Linked DNA regions of Neodiprion lecontei. The main gene of each other region encodes a partner of the protein of the gene in region 2 in a complex. Links are inferred from orthologs where the notes say so. Each region holds a gene or a part of one and is shown on either strand. Other genes may lie near its edges.

Region 1 (5,719 bases), on a different chromosome or scaffold from region 2:
CGATAATAATTAAGATAAATGAATAAATATAAGCTAGCGTGAATCAAATTGTAAATAATTATATTTTTAAATGTTTTTCTAGTATGTCATCATTAGATTTTCATCCATCAACTTACACCACATTTTCACACACATGCTCAAGTATTAAGCATCTTCCAGTCAACTTGAATAAACTTGAAAACGAGTTCGCTTAAAATAATCATTTCATGTCTTATTGTAGTTATTTTTCTTCATTTCCATTTCAAATGTCATTTTGCATACGTAACATTTGTATTGTTCCTTGATCATTTGATACTAATTTTATTATATTGTATAAAAAATGAAAGAAGGAATCATTACATGGAATATAAACGATTATAATTGAATGATGTAATTACTTTTGTAAATATTACTTTGCGTCAGTGAAAAATTGCTCGTATATTGTTTAAGTAATAAATATCCAAAGATTCGTGGGCCGAAAATGGTGACCAAAATTACCCCAACGTATCTGATACTTGGCCACTATCCGTCTACGTCCTAATGCGTAACGTAGGAAGTAACGATGTAAATAAATAAAATAACCGACAGTGAAATGAAGAGGTAACACAGATTCATGACATTTTATATTTTTAATTTATGCGATTGTTTTATTTTTCACATTGGTAGTGTACAGATTCAATTTTGTACGCCATGTCTTACCGGATAGAACATTACAAAGTTTGTGAATCAGGATTGACAATAAAGTAAACAATTCTGAAGAAATAACAATCCAAATTTCTCGATTCCTTGATCTTAAAATATCTATAAAATATTTCATCAAGATCTATTGATTTACATTTAATCTTTCTAAAACTTCAAAACACTCTTCCAGCGCTCGTTGCCAACAAACTACCGATGCAATCTAGCGATACACCTGCGTTCCATAAAATTGCAATATCATCGTTCTACATTGACATTCCACCTCTTCGAGCACCGCGTATGCTCAGTAAGCCCGTTAAGCTCATTTCTGCAAACAAAAATGATGAAATAAAATTAAGGAAACTACATTCTCATCAACTAATTTGAGCCCGCAAATTTCTTTGGGGAATTTTACTGAATTCTATGGTAAATATGTAGAGCCAACAACAAAATATACAGTGCGCTGTGGATTATTGCAATATAACAGAAAAACTGCTCGGTTAAAAGTATCCTTCTGATGACAAATCTTTGACAGTTTTGGAGCAAAGAGAAATTTAAATCCAAGATTTATTATTCATTAGTTGCCTGGTTTTATGTCTTGTTTCGTAAAATTTTGAGATTATATCGTTTTATCGCTGTCAAAGTATGAAAGGTAAATTACAACTGTACGGAAACTTGACATCAAGTAGAAAGACGAAAGAACAAAAGTCATTAATAATTTCTCACCGGAACAGCAGATGTAAATGGGACGTCATCATCCAGAGCATCATCCTTACTCTGTTCGTGCAGAAGAACGTATTCCCGAGAGCTGAATCCAAAGCGCAGAACATCCCTCTCCAAGAGCTCGTGATACCTTTTAGGCTCGAGTTTGATGTCATTAACATGAGTGCCGTTGGCAGATTCTAGGTCTATCAAATACGGTCTGACCCTCTTTCCTTCGCCACCATCTTCCCTCTGGAATGAGACAAGCCTAAACTGCAGAGCGGCATGCTGTTTGGAGCAAGACGGATGGTCCAGAGGAATATCCGCAACCTTGCGATCCCTGCCCATCAGGTAAGCAGACTGCCTATGGACGTAGAGGGTGGGCAACGCCTTCTCACCCTTGAAGGGATAGAGTCTCCAACGGCGCTTCGGCTTTCGCGCCTCCATTGGTTCTGTGTATTTTATCACCACACCGTTCACAGTATTTGCGTCTTCCGTCAACTTTCCAGAAGGCTCGAAATTTGGCTTCTCCTTCTCAATTGGCTTCCCATTGTTCTCCTTTTTCATATCCGCTTTTCCCCATTCCGGCGACGGCTCACCCTTTACTCTGGAGCCGTCGAAACTGCTTCTCGGCCCATCGCCATCCCCGAATCTGTTTCCTCTACCCCCTCGCCTGCCACCTCTACCGCTGTTATGTCTACCTCGTTCTCGCTCTTCAAACCCCCTGTTCCTCTCGTCTCGCCGAGGGGACTTCCTTTCGTTCTGCCTTCTGCCGTCAAACCTATCGACGGGTCGATTTTCACCGTTGTAGTTTCTGTTCGACCTTTCCGGAGCATCTCGTTCCCGCCTCCGCTGGTTGTCAGATTCATTTTGGCTGCGGTTATCCTCCTTCCTTCGCTTTTCCAAATCTCTGTCTATATCTCTATCTCTCTCCTTTTTCTCCCACTTGGTTCTGGCCTCTCCGCCGTCCTGGCGCTCTCTGTGACCCTTTCTTCTGTCGTCGCGTGACGCCGGGTACCGTTGGTTCTGAGACTGAGGACTGTGCTTCCGCTTCCTTCCGTCCGGGCTTTCCCATCTTGATCTTTCTACGTTTCTGTCCTGGCGCATTTCCTTTGGCCTTACACGTTCTTCTTTCTCCATCTGCCTCTTGCGCTGCTTCGGCGAAGGCGGTGCTTGTTCTTTGGCATCACTTGAATTCGACGAACCTTCGTCCTTGGAACTATCAGACTCGTTCTCTGAACTGCTAGCCTTGCGTTCCCTTTTCGTTCGCCCCATTATCCAGATTTTCCTGTTGAATTAAACCATAGACATGGAATCGAACAAATAATTTTAGAGGTTAAGGCATCCGATAGTATGCGCTGGGTTGCCGTATTGAATTTTATTCTGGCGTTAAGATTATTCGGAATGTTAAAAATAATCTCGCAGCTCTGGAAATACGCCAAATTGCGTGTAGGGAGGATGCAATAAGTGACGTCAATTCAATCAAGTCTCCTTGATTGCCACTAATAATTTTCCCACTCAACACACACCAACATTTGTTGTTTGAGGTTATGTACACGAGTTGACTGAAGGCGAAAGCATCCGAAAAATTTTATAACCCAGTGGATTATCAAAAGTAAAATACTTACAAAATATGGCTAGTGGGTTTCACTAAATGTAGGCATCTGCGATTAATGTTAAGATCGCTACTGAATTTCTGATATTTCGATTCATTCGCGACGCTAAAAATCCGAGCAAAAAGTACGACGTTTCAAATTGTCAAACACCGACCAAGATCCGTCGTTTCCGCCATTTGTCGGATTGTCTCGTAAATAGCAGGGATGCCACCGGCCGGCCAAGAATAGTCCCTAGACCGGACGATTGGAGTAGAATAATTCAAATTACGGTACAAATAATAAAAGGAAAAATGACAATAAACTGTTGCTCGCGAGAAAGTTTGTCTTTGGTGTACGATTCACTTGCACCAGAAAGAAAAATTGAGGCACGGTAATAATTATTCCTAATATGTTTACAACTTACCTTGTTCAAAGTATCCTTGACTTCTGGTGACTTCTTCCCCAAGTTGTACAGCACGAACCGATGCAACTCTGTTCGTCAACAGACGTTGACTGAGGGACACGTAAAGACTGAAAGCCTTATGAGACTTTTCGTAATGAAATGTGTACGTGATAAATTGATCGTCACGTGGCGCTCTCTGCGGCCTTTCTTGCACACGCAACCCAATCCGACAAATGGTCGGTACGTAAAGACGACGAGAACTGACGTTACCATCGTTTACCGCGTATATCCAGATTTTTCAGAGTCGAATGAATATTATTATGCCTATGGAAAAGACGAACCGGAACAGACTGAAATTTTCATACAACCCCGTGACGACGCCGTATACGTTTCAACTATGCAAGATCACTCCGAACCAAATTCAGCAATGCTAATGTAACTCCATCGGATCGACAAAAATTGTGTTATCTAAATAGATGCACAATAAACATACACTTGGTTTACTGTTAACAGAGTTGGAAATCTTTCGTTGATGCAAACGATAGGAGAAATAGCCGAAGAAGTTAACCAAAGGATGAACATGTTTTACAAACCTCAAGCGCGCAACTCTCAATTCGAAACCTGGACGCTTCAACGCTACCAGCAATAATTGCTCGGAACCGAAAGACAAAAGAAACAAAAAGCCTGGAATATCTTATTCGCTATTCGTTACAGCGTCCCCTCTCGGAATTTCGGCCGAGTGTCCCGAGATGGATTTTCCGGATTATTTGTAATCAAATCGTTATCAATTGTATACGGATGGTTTCAAATAAGGTATTTGGCACCCGGCGAACGCATCGTCTTGCAACCCGCTGCCTGCACATTTTTTACACAATTACGTAATACAAAGTAACAGTGTCGGGCTATTCTTCAGTTTCAAACTAAAAATTACGATTAACAGCGTTAATTTTTAATTGCGGTGATAGAATAAAAATTTTCCGAAAAATTCCTGATTTGAGTTTTTTAATTTAAATATTGAACGTAATTGTATAATGATACGAATTTGCTCGTCGAAGGGGAAGAATTAATTCTCAGTTAAGTTTTTCTAATTTTCAAAATAAACAACTGCTACTTTATTCAATGTTTCGAATCAAGGGAATTTAAACAGATTACCAATAAAATTTTTCGAATAAAAAAGTAAAAAATAATTCTGAAAATTAAAAATAATTCCGACATCAATTTCTTGGAGTACAATAAGTGATAAAAAACAATTCAGAGTTGATACTTCAATTCTAAATTCAAGTAAGCACTGGCTAATTACCTATCAACGCCAATTTGTACTGATCTACGTAAAAACGACTTTTATCCTGCAAAATTTATAAATTTATGAATAAATAAATATAAAAATGAATAAATTCATGACTAAAGAATTCGTATGAAATGGCAAAACTAGTTTAAATTGATATCGATCACCGTTGAGTATGAAATTGTTATTCGAACAAAGTTGATTCTGGGATTTGACGAATGTTGCTGTTAAGTGAATTAAATAATTTTAATTTCTTTGCAAATTTTGGGCTATAGTTTTCCACCTTGCTTCACCCATTACTAAAATCATATACATATATGCACATCTAAACTCCTGGTAGTCAAGTTTTTCGATATTTTTCAAAGTTTTAAATTTCATCAATTATTGAATTATTTTGCACACGAGACTCCAAACTTTCCGAAGATTTTGCAATCGATCATCAACTTTTTTTTTGTCACGTGTATCAAATTCTAAAGCTTCGTGTTTCTACTTTTTGCGCCGACACGTTTTTCACTTGACGATAATAAAAATCTACGACGCGCACTTGTGACACTAAATATTAAATGAAAAAAAAATTTTCTTACGATAAGGATGACTATGGTTTGTGACAAAGTGATCTGCATGTTAAATTATAGATACGCGCAAGGAAATTCTCGGGTTATCTTCTTGCTATACTACCTTCGATTATCGTTTTCGGTACTCTTTTTATTTTAGGTGACTACAAATCACGTATCTTTTTTTGAACAACCTCTTCGATATTATCAACTGAAATTAAATAAATGTGCAACAGTGCAACGTCTAACTATCCTCGCTTCAACTTATTATAGAGAAGCAACCGTTGATTTTTCAATTATGTCATTTATGTAATTTTGAACATTTCAAAATTTTCCCTGTGAGAAGGAGATTTTTTCCCATATTTTCTAGCGCCTTGGAAAACTACGAATTGACAATAATCGTTATTTAGGATTTTAACAATTGAGAAGAAAAATATGGTGTGATAATTACGTCAATATTATACAGAAAGTAAAATAAATTCTTATCAGCTGTTTTTCGTCACGTTTTTAAAAAGTCGTATTA
Region 2 (7,328 bases):
AGGTGAAATGGTAGATCACCTAGTAAGCAAATCAAAAAATGCACTATTCCCGAATAGAAAAATATGGATATACAGCGCCCATGATACAACAGTGGCAAACTTTTTGATGACATTAGATTTATTTGAGCCACACTGTCCCCCGTATACAGCGACTGTCCTTGTGGAATTGAGAGTGAACTCACTGAAACAGCATATTGTAACGGTAGGGATACATTCTACTGGTGTCATTATAATGAATAATTCCTCAGGTCCTGTATACTGTGCTTTGCATGCAAGTTGAACTTTTTCTAGAATGATTACAACCTCAGATTCTTCACCCTATATTCTAGATTTCGTACAAAAATACGTCCGCTGAACCGAGGCTGTTAACTTTGCCAGGCTGTGAGGTCGCGTGTCCATTAGGGAAATTTGTAGAATTAACTAACGACATGATACCAAAAGATTGGGCAAAAGAATGTCTTCTAGGCTGGGAACAATACGCACACAACATTACCATGCCATCTATATTTGGTAAGATAAATCTTGTTTAGTTAGAATCCCTCAGTTTATGTGAGATTAAAAACGTTCATAAGGTTTAAAGAAATTTTGGAAGCAACTTCTTACGGTACTTCTCTGTATGGAGAGTGCATCCATGAAAGCGTCACATGCTGAGCGTAATGCCAGACTTCCCATTATTGCAGTGATAGTATACCTATTTATACTCTGACTTGCGTGTTAATAGTATATCACTGCACAGTGTTACTATAGCTTTCTTATAGTGGACTCAACATACGACTTGCCTATATTACTGTTGCGGCAACATAAGACACAACTATATTTTTTTCTAGTGTTTTGAATAATTAACTAAAAGTTGTTTAAAGTTCAACAGACCATGATTGCGAAAAAGTTAATAAACGAGTCTACATAGTTATCTGTAAAGAATTAACAAGTACATGTAAATGCAATTGATTTGACCTAATCTTTGTAAATAATTTCGAGAAATATTCAATGTATATACATTAGTAACATAGATATTGAATTTCGTATGAACAATTTCTTTATGATTTTAATTCACCAATAGTATTCATATATCAATTTAACTTTAACTTACATTCCACTTGAAATATTTCATTACAAAAATGTTTGAGAAGTTCCTTTCCCGTGACGGCTGTACCCCCTTTAGTTTTTATTGACAATTCATACTGCATCTTCTCATTTCTAATTTCTTACTCTATTGGTTTCTATTTCAGGTATTTCAATATTGTTGCTGGTCATCATCATATTACTAGGTTTGTTAATCATCGGCGTTGTCTACTATCACCGCAACTGTGATAGTAACCGTTATTACTTTAAGTTGACGACAGATCCTATTTAATTTAATAATAAAATCCGACTTATGATTATTGCGGATACTAACACGGGCATTGGAATAATTTAGTATTATAAAAAGAAAATTTTCCAGTGTGAAGTTCGTCCCTTATTTTTATTGATCGTTGAACACACGCTCAACTTTATTCACAGGATCAGCACAAAAGTCACCTGATATGACGCGGTCATTTTGTACTCGAAATTTTTCATGATAGTGCAATTTGAGTAAGTTAGGTGTTATGGGTTAATTCAACTTTCAACTTTGCTGTAAAAAACAAATTCTATTTACATTATAATAAATATAAAACAGAGACGACAAAATTAAGATTTAGTGACACAAAGTGGTATTGTATAAATGATTTTAAAAAAATTAGTCGTGTATTTCAGAAAGACAGAATCCTCATTTTCTACCTTTCTCAAAGACACGCGCAAGCAACGCTGCGTAACTACGGCGAGCGTTCATTGCAGCACTTCCAATACGGTTACGCAGTGCGGTTACACCGCGTGCTATGGCAAAGGGCAGCCCCCTGGCACCACTGCTCGTATACTAAAAAATTGTACGCGTTTTGTCCCCGTTTTTTTAGTTCCTCTAAGTGGCGCTAGTAGACTTCTGACACGCTCGCTGACCGCGCGCAAGCCTGTCAGACAACTACTAGCGCCACTAGTGGTGGAGGTTGGCGGCAGAATCGAGGGACATTTTGCGAACCACTTTTGCAGCGTGTGTCAGGGGGCTGGCAAAGGGATATGAGTGCCCAGTATGGAGGGTAAAGCTAATATGCGTGAGCTCCGGCAAACGCATGCGGAAGGCGACTCGTACGATGCGTACTAAGTAGGCCGCTCCCTCACTAGCGCTAGCGGCGAAAATTCACAACATCGGCTTCATTTTCGAGCACGGTTTTACAGCCGGAGTACCCAGACCTGTCTATAAGACCGTGGTATGAACCTAGGTATGAATAAGTATAGATGAAAACAAACTGTAAGGTTATGCGCACACAACGTTGGATAAGAAAATGATAAGTCAGAAAGAGTATTTGAAGAAATACCTGTCATCCGACAAGGACAAAAAGAAGATTAAAAAAAAGAAACCCAAAATCGGGTCCAAAACGTAAGTGTTATCTTGTACGACTGTTTGATCGAGCAATAATACGATTTTTATTAGGTTAGATCGCAATGACCCTGGAATACAATTCCCACGATTTTAAAATCTGCAGCGCAATAATATCCATTAATTTTGCTTTATTTCCTCCAGTGTTAAAATTATTGACGATGACATTGATCTTAAAAATATGAGAGCAATAGAAGATGGGGAATTCGACATTTACAACAACACGGAAGACGGACCACAAATCGCTGGTATTGTCGACGAACGCGGTCCAGTTGACTTTTCCGACAAGAAAAGGTGGAAAATTATAACAGACGATATTGATGGAGACATAACTGTAACCAGCATTGACAGAAACGAGAGAATATCTGAGGCGATGAGCCAGTCAAGCAGAATACCTGCTCCTAATTCCAGAAATCGTTCTCCATCTGATGATGGTAAAGGCAGTCCACCTCATAGGCAAAGGAATGATTCCGACCAGAAAGAATCTAGTCGTAAGACACTATCGTCAAAGAAACTGCGTCAACATTCTATTTCTAGTTTGATTGAAAAGCCACCTGCTTCAGAGGACAGTGACTTCAGTCCACCTCGGAGAGTAAAAAAAAACAATGACTTGGAAAAGTTCACTCGACGTAGGAAATCTTTTAAAAAGAAACAAAGCCGAGCAGTTTCCAGCCCTGCAAGAAATTCCTCAGATTCTGAAAACAACGACACTAGTCCACCTAGCAGGACCAGAAAGGATTCTGATTCAGACGAAACTAGGTGCAAGAAATCTTCGAAGAAGAAACGGCGGGTTGAAAATCCTTGCAACTCCGAGGACAGCAAATGCAGCCAACCTCGAATATTCCGGAAGAACTCTGATTTGGATGAATCGATTTGCAGAAAATCATTCAAGAAACGACACAGTGCTTTCTCTTTGAATTTTGAGGATAATGACTTAAGACTGCCTCGGAGGATTAGAAAAGACTCGGACTCTGATCTTAGCCCACCCAGAAATTCAAAGGCTGAAAGAATTGATTGTACTAAACATTCGAAACAACGTGAAAATTCATTGACAAGTTCTCGGCACGACAAGCATTACAATAGAACTTCTAAAGCATCTCCTTCTGTACATTTTGAATCTTTACGTTCTAGAGGAAAAGATGAGTACAAATCAGGGAAACATAGTAATAGGAGTAATTCATCCGAACATGAGAGAAGTAATCGACAATCGAGAAAAGATGGAACAAAATTGAACAGCAGGAGAAGAAAGGAAGGTGATAAAGTTCGGTCAATATCACCTCAGGATAGACGACGAGATGGCAAAAAGGGAGGAACAAATAAGCATTCCAGAAAGGATGAAGATGACTCTGCACCTGATTTGAGTCCACCTAGGGAGACTCGGATGAATCATGAAGATTTGGATTCAGAATCCAAACCATTACAAAAAACTTCTAAAAATTATCAAGAGGTGCCTATTTCTTTGAAATGATTTATCTATTGCATTGCAAATTGCTTTTCTTATTTGATAATTTAATAAATCTATATTAGAATGATTCGAGATCTTTATCATGTGACAAAGGTATCAATTTTTGCTCTCAGATGAGTGAAGAGACAACTGGTTTTGGGCAGGCTCCAATTTTCCGCGATCGTAAAACTGGTAGAAGACGAGACTTCGCGGCAGAAAGACGCGACAAAGAACAGAAGGATGAAAAGCGGAAAGAATTGGAGGATAAATATGCTCAGTGGGGAAGAGGGTATGTTTTTCTATGGATATGTTAACCTCTTTATAGCAGGGCTGGTCGAGTTATCGATAGATCGATATATCGACCAGCAGTCAGGTTAGGGACTCCACGTAAGAAATTGATAGAACTTATTTCTAAATTTCACGTCCAATAAAAGGTTGATTTCAACTTACATTTCTCCGCTGTTAAAAGGTTAATATTACGATCACATCATAATTACCGGGCTACGGGCTACGGGCTACAGGCTACTTATTATTGTTGATCAAGCAAAGATTTGCGTTCAAAAGTTTGTACATTATCTAAGTAAAAATTAAATATTTTCCTTGGAAATGAAGGTCAGTAACAACACCAAAAAATTGTTTCGGTCCAGGTGGGGCCTCCCTCAAAACGATTATATATTTACAGAACCATCTATCACGAGAAAGAAGAATAGGTAACACAGGTGAATTACTTAAAATTAATATCTAACGAGACTTATGAGATTAACAAGGCAACTTCTGCCGATATAATTGAAAAGAAATTACCTAGTAATAACGTGGAATATTTCAATTTTGAAGAACAACACGAAGAAGTCAATATTTAAAAACAAAGTACAATAAAAAAACCAGTGTTAGATTAAAAAACTGCGACACGAAACTCCCAAGCATTCATCATGGTTAATAAAATTAAATTAAACACACAAACGAAATTTTTGAACAAAGATCTATTTTAAAACATGTAGATCCTCCAGCGTGCAGTGGAAATAGAACTAAATCAGTCAGTAGTAAGAAGCATAGACAATGAGACAACGAGTTCAATAAATATAAAAATATGATAAGAAGATGAGATCAAGAGCAAGCTCAGTCGGTAATTAGTGGTTATGGTTGATGTATTACAGAAGTGTAAATAGCGCTGAGATGTTCAATATCTTGTCTTAGATTGACCGCGTTAGGATGTGCAACAATGTTGCACGTTGTTGTTAACCTTTTGTAATAAAAGGGCTCAACATCTAAAATACTAGGTTTAGTACAATTGAAAGCATGATTAAATTCAATCGAGTGTCCAGTCAGACCTGTATAATTATCATCATGCTCATGGATGTTTCATTTATGTTCACTAATTCTTGTATGTAACTGCCTACTTGTTTGTCCTACGTATGACAAATTACATTGGTTGTAAGGAATTTTATAAACGACGCAAGAACGCTTATCCAAGGGTAGCAGATCTTTGCCAGAGTCAAACACAGACGATAAATCGTGTGATAAATTTTTTCTGACAAATTGAATATTATATTTTGAGAAAATTATACTTAAAGACTCGAATAGACCAGAAACATATGAGATAGATGCAAAGTTTTTTTGATTAACAGGTGCAACGGCTACTTCATTATTGTTGTTGGAATCACGAACAGATACAATAGACTTATATTTGTTATGTATATGTTTGTTAAGAAGGGCAGGTGGATAATTATTCTTGCGTAGTACATGATGAATCAAGGAAAGGTTCTTGTTATGAAATTCGATACTAGATAATCTAATCGCTCTATCAACCAAGCAATTGATTGTTCCAATCTTGTATGATCTGCGATGGTGAGAATGAAAATTTAGGTACCTCTGTGACCGGGTGCCTTTGTGGAACCAATCAGTTTTGAAAAGCTGATTGTCATTAATGATAAATACATCCAAAATACTGATTCGACGATTGCATTAATTGAATTTTTTGGTGTTGTTACTGACCTTCATTTCCAAGGAAAATATTTACTGCAACATTACCGAATTTAAGAGACCATTATTCATTATCTAAGTAACTTTCGAACTTTCATTTGATACGTACATTCTTATTCACAGTTTGAAGCAAGTTGAAGACCACAAAGAAAAGCTGGACAGAGATTTGTACGAGATGAGTAAACCCCTGGCAAGGTACGCGGATGATGCGGATTTGGAGCGAGAACTCAAAGCACAGGAAAGAGAAGGGGATCCAATGCTAGCGTACATAAAACGGAAGCAGATAAAAGAAGGAAAACAGGAGCCAGGTATTGAAATAAAAACTTCATAACTGTGCCAAATGCAATTGTATTTTAGATCGCAGTTCAAACACAAGTTTTTAATATGAAATTTCAGAAAAACCCAAATACCAAGGACCCTTTATGCCCAACCGTTTTGGCATTCAACCAGGATATCGTTGGGATGGTGTAGATCGGAGTAACGGTTATGAGAAGAAGTGGTTCGATGCACAAAACGCGAGGAAGGCAGTACAGGAAGAAGCGTATAAATGGAGTACCGCCGACATGTAGTGAATAAATGTACATATATACAATTTTTCCTGGTACGTCAATCAGGTTTGCTGCTTTCAAATTTCATAGGTATGCAACTTGTACTTTGGAACTTGCATCAGGAAATATTAGATTCTGTTCCTTGCGGTGATCATCAATCAGGAATAAATTATGTCGGTTAATATAACTACCATTCATCTTAGGGGCAGATGAAGCTTAAAATTATTGAAAATCAATAAATAAAAAAATACGTCATGTTTTTAATACGTATTCATTCGTTTTACGATTTACGAGTGAATACAAATACAAAGAAATACCGGTCAATTCCTGTGGTTTACCGGTTAGTAAAGAAAGAAATCTGTAGTTCAGTGTGTCGTACTACTATAATCGGTCCTTACCGATCGAGGAAAACGTCACTTATTATCTTCTTGCATCCTGATTTTTACTATTAAGCGCAATTCCAAATGAAATACCGATTGCAGAACAAATTAATTCAAAAACTTTTTGGTTTACTGTGATACTAAAGCTTGGCATTATTATTTCGTAAAATAAAACTTTTTTTGATATTTATATTTCGCAATGCATGTGGAGCTGCGCTGATTGTGATATTTTCATATGGCTGATGCGTAGGCTTTGACGTTCACTGAAGAATATAAAGACGGATACCCCTGGGTGAATTTTTGTGACCAGTTTTCGGCGGGAAAGTAGGCCCAGATGGGCTTGGGAACGTTTCTGTTTTATCAATTCTACCTAACGGGCTCGCACCTACATTCGTAGCAGCCCAAGTAGTGTCAGTATGGAAGCTTGGGATTGAGTCTGTACCACGGTCTTACTTACATACAGGTCTGGCAACGAAGCCAATTTTCTACAGAGCGGCGTGGTTCTCTTGCTGTCCGTGGTTCTT

Evidence for each region. The genes of interacting proteins can lie anywhere in the genome.
Region 1: BUD13 homolog (region 2) and FHA domain-containing protein DDL share a complex: the UniProt entries of both Homo sapiens proteins name them as parts of the minor spliceosome. The link is inferred for Neodiprion lecontei from reciprocal best matches to the Homo sapiens genes BUD13 and SNIP1.

What each region holds. Positions count from the first base shown.
Region 1 is NC_060266.1:20,093,419-20,099,137, forward strand, and holds FHA domain-containing protein DDL, read right to left. Parts: upstream 3,464-5,719; 5' UTR 3,379-3,463; intron 3,152-3,378; exon of another isoform or gene 2,988-3,151; intron 2,648-2,987; 5' UTR 2,635-2,647; coding exon 1,384-2,634; intron 986-1,383; coding exon 980-985; 3' UTR 590-979; downstream 1-589. UniProt on the Homo sapiens protein: Required for pre-mRNA splicing as component of the spliceosome. As a component of the minor spliceosome, involved in the splicing of U12-type introns in pre-mRNAs. Down-regulates NF-kappa-B signaling by competing with RELA for CREBBP/EP300 binding.
Region 2 is NC_060263.1:19,783,095-19,790,422, reverse strand, and holds BUD13 homolog, read left to right. Parts: upstream 1-2,045; 5' UTR 2,046-2,357; coding exon 2,358-2,452; intron 2,453-2,596; coding exon 2,597-3,899; intron 3,900-4,030; coding exon 4,031-4,185; intron 4,186-5,999; coding exon 6,000-6,184; intron 6,185-6,272; coding exon 6,273-6,445; 3' UTR 6,446-6,683; downstream 6,684-7,328. Other genes in the region: prostatic acid phosphatase, read left to right, coding at 1-202, 330-510, 1,230-1,354. UniProt on the Homo sapiens protein: Involved in pre-mRNA splicing as component of the activated spliceosome. As a component of the minor spliceosome, involved in the splicing of U12-type introns in pre-mRNAs.